3 linked regions of the Styela clava genome follow. The protein of the gene in region 1 purifies or fractionates together with the protein of each later gene. This does not show direct contact. Links are inferred from orthologs where the notes say so. Each region holds a gene or a part of one and is shown in the gene's direction. Other genes may lie near its edges. The genes, in order: vesicle transport protein SEC20-like, NBAS subunit of NRZ tethering complex-like and RAD50-interacting protein 1-like.

Region 1 (3,456 bases):
GGAAGTAAGACTTAAAAAGGGTGTAAAACACATTGGCGATACAAACCAAAATACACAAGGAAGTGAAAAAGTACTTAGGAGAAAAAAACGTGACAGATGTGTTTTTTCATTCCTCAACAAGACTTTAGGTGTCAGTGAAGCTAAAAAAGACTCTAAAAAGCAAATTGAAATGCCTAAAGATATGTTTGGAATAAAGGCTGGTACTGAACAAAAAAATGTAAAAAATTTCAATAAACAAATGATGAAAAATGAAGATGACATGAAAAAAATTAAAGCAAAAGTTCTCAAAGTAAAAGAATCATTACGAAGGAACCAATCTAATCCTTCAGTCGTCAAATCTTTGACTGAAAAACTCGACAAACTAAAGGAAGATTTGACAAACATGAAAGAACTGGAATCTAATATTAAAATTCATAAGTCAAGAATGGAAACTCATAGAAAAATGACAAGTTTTTGATTGGTGTGCAATACTTAAAAAGAAGATAACAACATAATTAAGAATTCCATGTAGTGTTAATACTATGAAGTTGTAGTTTCTATAAAATGTTTATTTTGGGATTTCTTATCATAGCGCACTAAAGTAAAATTGTTTTCACACTGTAGCAAGCAGAGCTTGTTTGAAATCAACGTGACTCCAGGTTTGGAGCCAGAGTATGTTCAAACAGCAGCTAGAGCTCCAGTTTTTACCTCTGAGCTGGGCTGAAATTTCACGGCAGTGGGTCTCAAAATCATGATGCTGAGAATGATAGATTTCATTATTTATTGGAGTGTGATATAAAAAAAATTATAAAAGGTAAATAATATGTAAACATTCAAGAACTGGGGACTCACTGAAAATTTCTAGTAGCTTCAGCTCCAGCTGGTATGGGGAACTTAGCGCCAGCTTCAACAAAACGTCATAACTGCAGGCTCTTATTTCACTAGATAATTAAAGCGTTTGGCTTGATTGCTCTCAGGTGATGACCCAAGAGTTTTTTAGCAATAAGTCACAATTCAAAAAAGTGCTCAAAAAGTGTTTTTCATTCGACTATTCATTTGAACTAAATTACATCGTCATTAATAAATCCTTGATTTAGAAAAAGTGATGTTGATTGATTATTTAATTTTCGTAAATATTTTGATCAATGCCTGATAATCAAGAATCAATTTTCATTATTTGATACTGACTCATATTTGCTAGCTATCACACTGTGACTCTGTTTTATTTGATTTTTTTGTTTTTGTATTTTCTCAATATCAAGAATAAGTTCAATATTTGTTTAGCGTTATTTGAGAATATAGGGCGATGAATGCACAAAGCTGGGTGCGTAAGTTATCTCTGGAGAAGAAGAAAGTTCCAGAAAATGCTGATTTGAAAGAAAAGATTGTTACAATGGATTGCTCTGCTAAAGCTGCGATTCAGGATGTCTGGAGATGTGATGGCACAATAGAAAACTTACAGACAATTCATGAAAATGCTCGTAGAAAAATTAATGAGCTTCGTGCTGCTATTCAAGATTTTGAAACAGCTGCACAGGAAGCTGATGATGTGAAACAAAAATTAGAAATGGAAGAGTCGGTCAAATTTTTTAAGGAACAAATTCAGAACACAAATTCTACGTTGCGCAAAGCATATTTGACTAAAAAGATTGCTCTCGATGAGGAGTCGAAAATGTTACTTCTTGGTGGTGCTAAAAACTCAGAAGTTCGTCGTCGTCAAGCATCTGCTGCAAATCAAGAAAACCTTGCACGAACTGCGAACGATGTAACACAAAGTCTGTTGAGCATAAGTCGGGTCATGAGTGGCAGCGTGCAACAGAGTGCTGACTCATTGAATACGTTAGTCAGGTCGTCTGGTTCTTTAAAACAGACCGATGAAGAATTGAAAGACCAGTCTGGCGTTATCCAGACCAGTCATAGGTTATTGACTAAATATAATAGGCGAGAATGCACTGATAAATTTTTAATATTTCTTGCATTGGCTTTCTTTTTCAGTACAGTGCTATATATTTTGAAAAAGCGTTTGTGGCCTGTGTAATAATTAACCCTATAAAATTTTACTAATAAAGAATGATATTGTTGTTAAATTCAAATATATTTAATTTATTAGAAATCATTATACTTAGTATTAGTAACAGTTATTCTAGATATCAGTGCTTCGTTTTCTAGAATTTCATTTATCGCTGTCTGGATATTTTCCTGACTGTGTTTAACTTGATTTATTCTGTTGTAGGTTAAAATTGGTTAATAATGTGCAATAATCCGTCAGAATCTTTGATATAATTTTTTTGTGGTATTGAGTATTAATACTGATCTAAAAATAATTCGGCAACAAATGTTCTAGGTTGATGTCACTGATGCACGAACAATGCAGGGTGAAAAAAAGATTCTACATGTTCATGTTAAGGAATATTATAAATTCAATTTAATAGTTCAGTACTCCAACCTAATTCTAGCTGATGACATAAATTTCTGGCGAATTAAAAAAAGATTTCAGTGGTTCAGCACTTAGGACTTGACAGTTACTGTTTATTTCGGAATTATGTATAATCTATTCAATGTTTATACAATATTGGTGTTGTCATGTGTATCTTTGTCTGTCATCTGTAAAATTTTGGTATTGGTTGTTGTCGGATAATGTGGGAAAAAGAAATAGGTTTTGACACAGAAATTTGATCCCTAATTGGATGAAATTTAGTTGTGCAGGGATTGAATATTTTATTTTGCCATATATTGTCTGTGTTTACAGTTCTTAAAATAAAGTTTTAGTTTTTAATATTTACCTGTAGGAATATTGAAAGGCGCTCAAATAAAATGAAGCTCCTTATTGTGGCTTTGGTTATTGGACTCAGCCAATGCTTTGGAGAAAATAATTCGTTACCTGGTGGAATTATGGAATTGGACACAAATGGTTTTCCACCAGAATTTGGTCGGGCATATAAAAAAGCAAAGATCCCATTCATTTTTATTAATGCTGATAAAGTTACACATCAGGTATTGATACTGTTGTAATTGTAATTAGTTAGTCCTATTTGCCTAGTATATTATGTTGTAATATTCATTAACAAATATTCTAGACATCAAACATCATTTCTATTGTGCTATTTTGTTCAGTATTGAAGGACTAATGTTTATGATGGTTAACCAATAGGCTTAACTAATAATGTGCCAAAATCAGATGGGTAATTTTAATATATGTAACCAATCACAGTTTGTGAATATCTCGCTAGGTTGTGCATGGAAATTACAACTAATATTTATGTGATATATAAATCCAATTTTGAAAAATGAAAACAGAGTGCAAAATGCGACTCAACAGAATAAAGTATAGAATCTTGAAATTTTGATTCAGTCCTTGCTAAACATTCATATCGAGTGGTGGTATTTAACACTCCAAACATTCTGAATTGTTTACCTATTCTGTGAAAACTTTTTTTCAATATTTTGAAGCAATTACGGTATGTATAATAAGTTTGA
Region 2 (3,839 bases), on another chromosome or scaffold:
CCCCGAAAAATTCTTTAATTTTTTGTGAAGCTCATAAAATGTCTACTCTAGGAGAGCTGATATTTTTATTACCTCAAGGAACAGAGACTGATTTACTTGAAGACTGTGACAGACTCATGCCTGCATTGAATTTGTTTCGTTTCCTTCTTATCAGAGATAAGACGAACAAAACAGGAATACTTGATCATTTGGATAAATTAGATACAGAGTTTCTAAAACCTTTGAGGAATGCTATTGACCTATCTCGAGCTCATTATGAAAATGAACTAAAGAAGTATGATCGGAGTTCTAAACGTCCTGATGATAATAAAACTGAATTTCTTGTTAATGGAACCCCATTACCTACTTTACCATACAAGGAGCAAAAGCGAACACTTGAGGCAGCATTGCATACTTTTGATATGATTGAAATTGTTACAATTAGGGTAATTGAGTTGATAGATGTTTCATACACAAAACACAATAGTGGATGTGAAAAGCATACTCAAAACAAGCTATGATTTATTCAATTAATGAAACATATATTGAATAAAACGGCTGTAGCTCTATATGCTTGTATTATTTATTCGAACTCCCGAAGTATGTGAACCAAAATACTCTGAACATAGTATGTGTACCACGTTAAGGTTAGGCCCTAATTGTATTCCAATTTTCCTTATTTTAGTTCTATTACGAGTTCGGAGACTAGCCAAGTGACTCGTAGTATTTGTACCTGAAATTATGGCCTAACCTGGTACACATACTACGTTCCGGTGTCCTCCATCTTGGTTCACATACTTTGGGAGTACCTATTTATCTCGTAGTTCCTAATTTGAATAAAAATTAATGACTTTGTTTTTCATTTTTGTCACTCCCCAATCTGTTTTCAAAGTCTGTTGTGCAATTTAAATTACCAGAAGTTAGCTATAGAGAGTCAGCCTTTTCGAAAAAAATGCTTCAATTATTTTTTGAATGTTTAATAACATATCTTTCGGGAGATAACTTGAAATTTGTAACATGCAAATTTATTATGCATCCATGAATTATTGAGTTTATTTCTTGTTAAGATCAGTTTTATATATTATTCTTATTTTTAGTATATATTTATATACATAAATATAATGAATATTAGCAATCAAGCTGACAATTCATTGGAAGAAGATGCAATATTATATGACTTGTCATATCAAGTGGAATGGCCCGAACAAAAGGAAGTTGTCGGTGAGATATTTATTGCTTGGTCCATATATAAAAAAAAATCCATATATAAAAAAAGTTTTATGCAAGTGAGCATATTTGATACATGGCGATGACGAAGCTGTGTATTCTCTGAATTTGACAGCTTTTATTAATATTAAAGTTGAAAATATATTTTCAAACAGACAGACCCAATATTTTATTCAGTAGCCTAAGTCAGCTTGCAGTTTAATGCGAATTTTCAGACTCCACAAGACCACAACTCAGTGGTAATATTTCAGTTTATAGAGATTTTTTTTTAATTCTGTGAAAATCGATTTTAATTTTAAAACCAGTCATTAATCGTAATTGTATTTGGCTGCTTGAATATGTTTGTAATTATAAAAATTTATAATATTCCAGGAGGTTCACAACAAGATGAAATTCAATCAAATGTCATTTACAACAATGCCAAACGGATTCAGTCTTCAATATCAAGGTGGACATGGGCAACTGTCCGGGCTGTTGGTATTCCAGTAAGATCAGGAGCATCATGTATTTTGCCACCAGACTTGATCAAGTTAATAAACAGCCAAGAATCATGGATGTTTGCTAGATCACCTGATGGTAATTTTATTGCAGTATTGCAAGATGGATGTTTGGAAGTTCTCTCATCCAAAGATGACTACAGTGTGCTAGTCGGGCGTTGCAATTTTACAAAAGACCTTTTTCCTCAATGGCGAAAAATTTCTTGGAGTCTACATTCTACAACAATTGCTTTTTCTGACAGCGATGGTACCGTTTATGTGTGTGACCTCAAAGGAATACTTTTACTCACTTATCAAGGTCACATGAATGATGACAAAAAAGCTTATGATTATAGTTCAGCCATTTGTAGTTTGACTTTCATTGGACATGAAGTGACACACAAACATAAAGATGACAGTTTGCATTTATTGGTCGTGTCTTACAGTGGAATGGCGACTTGTCTTGAAATAAACAGCATTTATGAAAGAGGTTATCAAATGACGTATGAATTTGATTTTTCACCTAGTTATTCTAATGGAGTGAGTGGTGTTCTTTATAATCAGGACCACAGTATGATTATTGTTGGTGGATGTGCTGGTTATGCCACGAGCGATGATGATGTACCGAGAGCGACTAGGATTGGATTAACAGCATGGCGGCTTCTGTCAGAAGAACCTTTTCTCAAAGCTCTGAATGTTTTTTCAGATGTTGATGATGCTAAACGAAATCAGAGTTTTCTGAGGAGGCTGTCCACTGTTCCAGTAGGTTTGGGTAAAAAATTGCGAAAACAGTTTTTTGATGGAATATATACGATGTCATTATCACCATGTTGTAAATTTCTGGCTACAATTCAAATATCCGGTAGTCTTTCCATCTGGGATATCCCTTCTCTCAGACACAAAAGATGTTGGAACAAAGAAGATCAACCATTTTTTGATAGCCTGGATCCGGATGCTGTGAAATCTATAAATTCTGCTAAAAAGTTCAAGGAATATCCTTTATTACAAAACATTATTGACTGTCAGTGGTGGAACGACTCCAGTGTTATTTTAGCACGTTGTTCTGGTTCATTGACAGTTGTACGTGTTTCTGGTTTGTCTCTTGATAACCTTTTTGGTGAACAATGCGAGTGGTTGGAGCCAGCTCCGAGAATATCATTCTGCAGAGATGAGGGTTTCCTTGCGTTAGAATGCCAACCTCAAGTTAAAACATTGAAGCGACAACGTATGGATTCGGTAGAAGAAGCACAAAAGGAGGAAGATGAGGAATATGACCCATTTTTGGATGACAGTGACAAAGAAGATCATCCAGGTATAGCAGGCCGTTTGAAAAACTACACTAAATCAACCATGTATGATTTAACTGAAATTGAATATTTTAGACCTCCAAGAAAGCGGCCCAAACTTGTTACAAAGTCATATAGACTGTTAACTTTGACAAAAACAACACCTGAGAAACTTTTTGAAAAAAAATTGGATGATGAAGAATATGGTGAAGCACTAGCTCTGGCACGTAGATATAACTTAGATAGTGACAAAGTGTTCCAAAGGCAATGGAGAAAATCACCTGTTTCAGTTGCATCTATTCAGGACTATTTAAGCAAAGTCACAAAACGATCATGGGTCATGCACGAGTGTTGTGAAAGAGTACCTGACGAACTAGATGCTGCTAGAGAGCTTTTAAAGTTTGCACTGACAGTTACAGATATTGATAAAATTGGAGAGGTGAAACACACTGAATCTAAATCATCATCAACTTCCTCAGATTCGGAATCAGATTATGAAGAATATGAAGGATTTGATGTTGAGGAACAACGACAACAAGAAATACGACAAAGAGAAAAATTTGTTAAAAAATGGTCGAAAAATTTTGATTTTGATAATTTATCACTTGAACAAAAAGAAACTATTAGAACAAGAAAAAAGATTCTGAAATACTTTGACAGACTTTCTACATATGAAAGTCTACTGGGCGGCTACGATGCAGCAAGAGAACGTTACAACAGGGAAAGATTTGCAATCTTTAGACAACAGGACATGTTAACTTCTGCTTTAGAATATGCTCGTTCATGCGATTGGAAATCAGTTGATATATTGCTAACATTTCATGGAGATGAATTACGAGAACATCGTCTTCCTATTTTGTCAAATTTTCCA
Region 3 (3,600 bases), about 6.5 Mb from region 1:
TTTTTTGTTTACCGATATGGTATTGGTGATTTTGTTTGCTTGTGACATTCTAAAGATTTCAGTTTCATTTCTTGTTCTCTGCATTATTGTTTTTTCCATTATTATTATTTATTTACATTAATTACTTTACATACTACTATTCTATAACTTTTGAAAAATTTACGAATTTGTTTTTAGAGAGTTAGGTAATAAAATTGTAATTGTTGTTTTTATTTGTATTCCTGTAAAACACTTTTTGGTCTATTTCTGAGTTTGGTACAATCAAGCAACTATTTTCAAATTTGAGGAAATCGCAAATGTTAACAAACCAGTTTGATTTGTATCATCGAACAAAAAAAATTTACAATTCATGTTATAGCCTATCTTTGTGTGTGACATTCATTATTAAATAGTATATGAGGTGTTTATAAAGTCCTGTTACAATTTTCAAAATTTTTATAGGAAATTATTACTTACCTTATAATTCGACGCATGAAATCCAAATTGGGCTAAGTTCATTTTTCTAGTTTTTTGTTTCTTTTTTTTATTTCTCTAATACCTTACATCGAGGATGTCTAGTTTTTATGGTCCACCAAAGTTACAATGAAGGCCATATTTGGATGGTATAAAAAAATTTGTGTTGGGGGTTTTTTTTTGGACTTAACCCTTTTTGGCTCTCAATTTTCTGGACCAGAAACAATTTTATTGGACTAAGGGCCCCTTTATTATGTTATTATAGAGGGAAAAAAACGGACTTAGCCCCAACTTACAATGCAGTTATCCAGAGTTAAGTCCACTATAGTAGACACAGCTCTGTTTAGTTCTCAAATGCCCTAAAAAAAGCAGGGTTATGTCCATAGCTGTCTTGAGATCTAGAGCACCTAGAGATAAGGCAAATAGACCAAAATGTAGAGCTAAGTCCAGGAAAATCAGCAATTGAAAAATGTCATTTTTTGGAAAAGTGGACTTAGCACGTTTGGTTTTGAGGTGTCGAATATGTCCTGACTCCTAACCAGGTTTTTGTATATTTTTAGGGCATTACTCTTGGTTAGACATAGCAAAATCTTTCTCAATACCCATAAATTAAATTAGTTATGGACACGGTGGTAAAAATTTTATTCCTGATCAACTAAAATTCAGTCCTTGGTAGTATTTATGATCTTTAGTTTGCACTTCTATATACAATATTTGAGGTGACCAATTGTCATATACAACATAGATGGGTATACATAATTTATGCAAATTGACCTTTCATCACAGATTATCTTAAATCAAAGAAATGGTATAGAATAGTAATAGCCTATATTTGAGATTTTGTGTCTCATTTTTGACCCTTGTCTGTGAAAGCTGTATGATGAATCGTCATCAGGGGATTGTTAAGGAATTTCTTGACACAAATTTTGGTCAAGTAACAAGGATTGATGATTTAGCAAATGCAAGGGAAATATACAATCAACTGCTTGGAAGACAACGTGATATTGAACACCAGGTTTTGATATATTATTGTACAGAATTTTGATATATACATATATACAAAATTAAGGTCATCAAAAATGAAACAATGATTATTAATTTGATCCTTATGCGACACTGACTTGGTTTTAATTATAGCGATTATAGAAAAATTACATCTCATTTTATCAAGGTCACTTTAAATTGAACCTCAACTTGCTATTAATTCTGGAAAATAAACGTCAGTTTAAGTCGATAATTTTGAAATTTTGATTGCTTGTTTCAGGCATTTGATTTTTTAATCCCCCCCTCCCTCCAATCTGAGCATTTACGACTTTATATTCAATTGGCTCCCCATGGTAATAATATGATAATCTTCCACTCCCTTGTTGAAGATGACCATCATAATGTAATTGAGTTCTATTATGTTTGTTTAGGTCACAGTTACAAGACCAAACAATTCATATGAAAAATTTCATATGTTACAGAAGGCTAGTTTGAGTGAACTATTTTATGGTGGTATTGTACCTGTTTAACTCTCATATGCCAGAAAATGTTTTTTTATACAAGATAGGAGCAATAATATGCATTATGCATCATAATTCGCATGTGCATTTTAGCACAAGGGTGGTCTCCATGTTTTATTCACATATATAATTTGTCCCCCCCTTTGCGTCGCTGGCGTTTTAGTTTTTTTGCTTTTCAGACATTCTGTCTTGACACCTTTGTTGACTATATCTCGGAATAAACGTATTACTGTACCAATACTAAGAAATTGTTCTTTTATTTATAGCTGTCTGTTATTAGAACTGAAGTTCCAACAAAAATTGAAAGTGCAATCCGACTTTCTGATGAAAGTTTAACACAAGGTGAAACTCTCATCGCACAAAAAGATGTTCTTGTTAAAAAAATTAATCAAGCTATGGAAGAATGCCAGCCCATAAATGATGATCTTGGAGGAATGGTTTTTCAAGTGAAGGAAATAGAAAAATTTGTTGTTTATTTACAATGGTTGAAACATGTGGAAGAATTGAGGTTTGTCATAGATTGCAGACAATGTTAACTTTGGCAACTTATGAATCTAACTATATTTATTCGTACTTGTTAGATTATATATTGCTTCCAATATGTTAACAGTCACATTTGGCTATAATATATTTATATATTTTTCATTGAAAATTATTTAATGACTGGAAATTGTAAGACTGAAGTGCTTGAAGTAGTTGAATTGATGTCATCGTAGCTGTTGAACTTTTTATTATGATGTCATAGTGTTTTACCATACAATGTTTAGCCTACATTTCAGTAAACTGATTTCATTGTTTCCAGTAATCACAAACAGGCTATCCCGTACACTGTGCAAGGTTTAGATACTTTTGAACAAAATATTTATTTGTTAGTTTTTCAAGACAAAATGTCGGGCAAACTTTCAAAAAAAGCTCGCAATCGCTGTAAATATAATCGGGCGTTCCAATATGATTTGATAAAGAATTATTTTCAGAATGGAAAATATCATTATGAAAACTAGCTATTGTTATATATATTGCTGAAGAATGCATCCATCACGATTTTTCAGACCCTAGAATTAAAAATCAAAGCCAATCGTTCATAATGCCCACTCTTCAAGTTTATGCATTTCTTATTTAGTGAAGAAATACAGAGATGCATTTCGAGCGACAATTTGAGTGGTGGTAGTCAAGCTTTTACCAAGTTGATAAAGGTTAACCAGATACTCACAACACAACATTCAAAATGTGAAAGTCTAATGAAATTTACTTCCGATACAATTCTATTCTGGCATAAATTTTTGAAGGACAAATTGGCTTTGTAAGTATCAGTTATTATTGTTATGATAATTGAGGTAGACTAGAACAGTAACAAAAATGCTTGCAGAAAGTTGTTTAAAGGACTGTGAATTTAAAATGATAAAAAGGGTGTTTAATAAGTTTGGTTTTCTGTTTGTGGGATAAGTGTGCAGTGTGTTAATTTCACTCAAATCGATACTTACAGAAATTCCACCTTAGAAAAATTCACCTAGTAAATTTCCTCTCTGAAAGTGTCATTGAAAATTTCTTCTATGGAATATCCCACTCAAATAAAATCCCCAATGCCAACTTATTTTTTAATTGATTCTTTGTAAAATGTGATATTTTTATCGCTTGAATCAGA

The links.
Region 2: the proteins of vesicle transport protein SEC20-like (region 1) and NBAS subunit of NRZ tethering complex-like purify together in Homo sapiens (co-immunoprecipitation; 3 studies listed by BioGRID and IntAct, with this or other methods). This does not show direct contact. The link is inferred for Styela clava from reciprocal best matches to the Homo sapiens genes BNIP1 and NBAS.
Region 3: the proteins of vesicle transport protein SEC20-like (region 1) and RAD50-interacting protein 1-like purify together in Homo sapiens (co-immunoprecipitation; 3 studies listed by BioGRID and IntAct, counting the BioPlex papers as one, with this or other methods). This does not show direct contact. The link is inferred for Styela clava from reciprocal best matches to the Homo sapiens genes BNIP1 and RINT1.

The regions. Positions count from the first base shown.
Region 1 is NC_135250.1:16,234,863-16,238,318, reverse strand, and holds vesicle transport protein SEC20-like, read left to right. Parts: upstream 1-1,285; coding exon 1,286-2,017; 3' UTR 2,018-2,728; downstream 2,729-3,456. Other genes in the region: zinc finger CCCH-type with G patch domain-containing protein-like, read left to right, coding at 1-457; cathepsin L-like, read left to right, coding at 2,794-2,973. UniProt on the Homo sapiens protein: As part of a SNARE complex may be involved in endoplasmic reticulum membranes fusion and be required for the maintenance of endoplasmic reticulum organization. Also plays a role in apoptosis.
Region 2 is NC_135260.1:20,997,994-21,001,832, reverse strand, and holds the start of NBAS subunit of NRZ tethering complex-like, read left to right. Parts: upstream 1-1,065; 5' UTR 1,066-1,100; coding exon 1,101-1,200; intron 1,201-1,578; coding exon 1,579-3,839. Other genes in the region: glomulin-like, read left to right, coding at 1-500. UniProt on the Homo sapiens protein: Involved in Golgi-to-endoplasmic reticulum (ER) retrograde transport; the function is proposed to depend on its association in the NRZ complex which is believed to play a role in SNARE assembly at the ER. Required for normal embryonic development.
Region 3 is NC_135250.1:9,705,847-9,709,446, forward strand, and holds the start of RAD50-interacting protein 1-like, read left to right. Parts: upstream 1-1,242; 5' UTR 1,243-1,330; coding exon 1,331-1,468; intron 1,469-2,224; coding exon 2,225-2,466; intron 2,467-3,078; coding exon 3,079-3,258; intron 3,259-3,600. UniProt on the Homo sapiens protein: Involved in regulation of membrane traffic between the Golgi and the endoplasmic reticulum (ER); the function is proposed to depend on its association in the NRZ complex which is believed to play a role in SNARE assembly at the ER.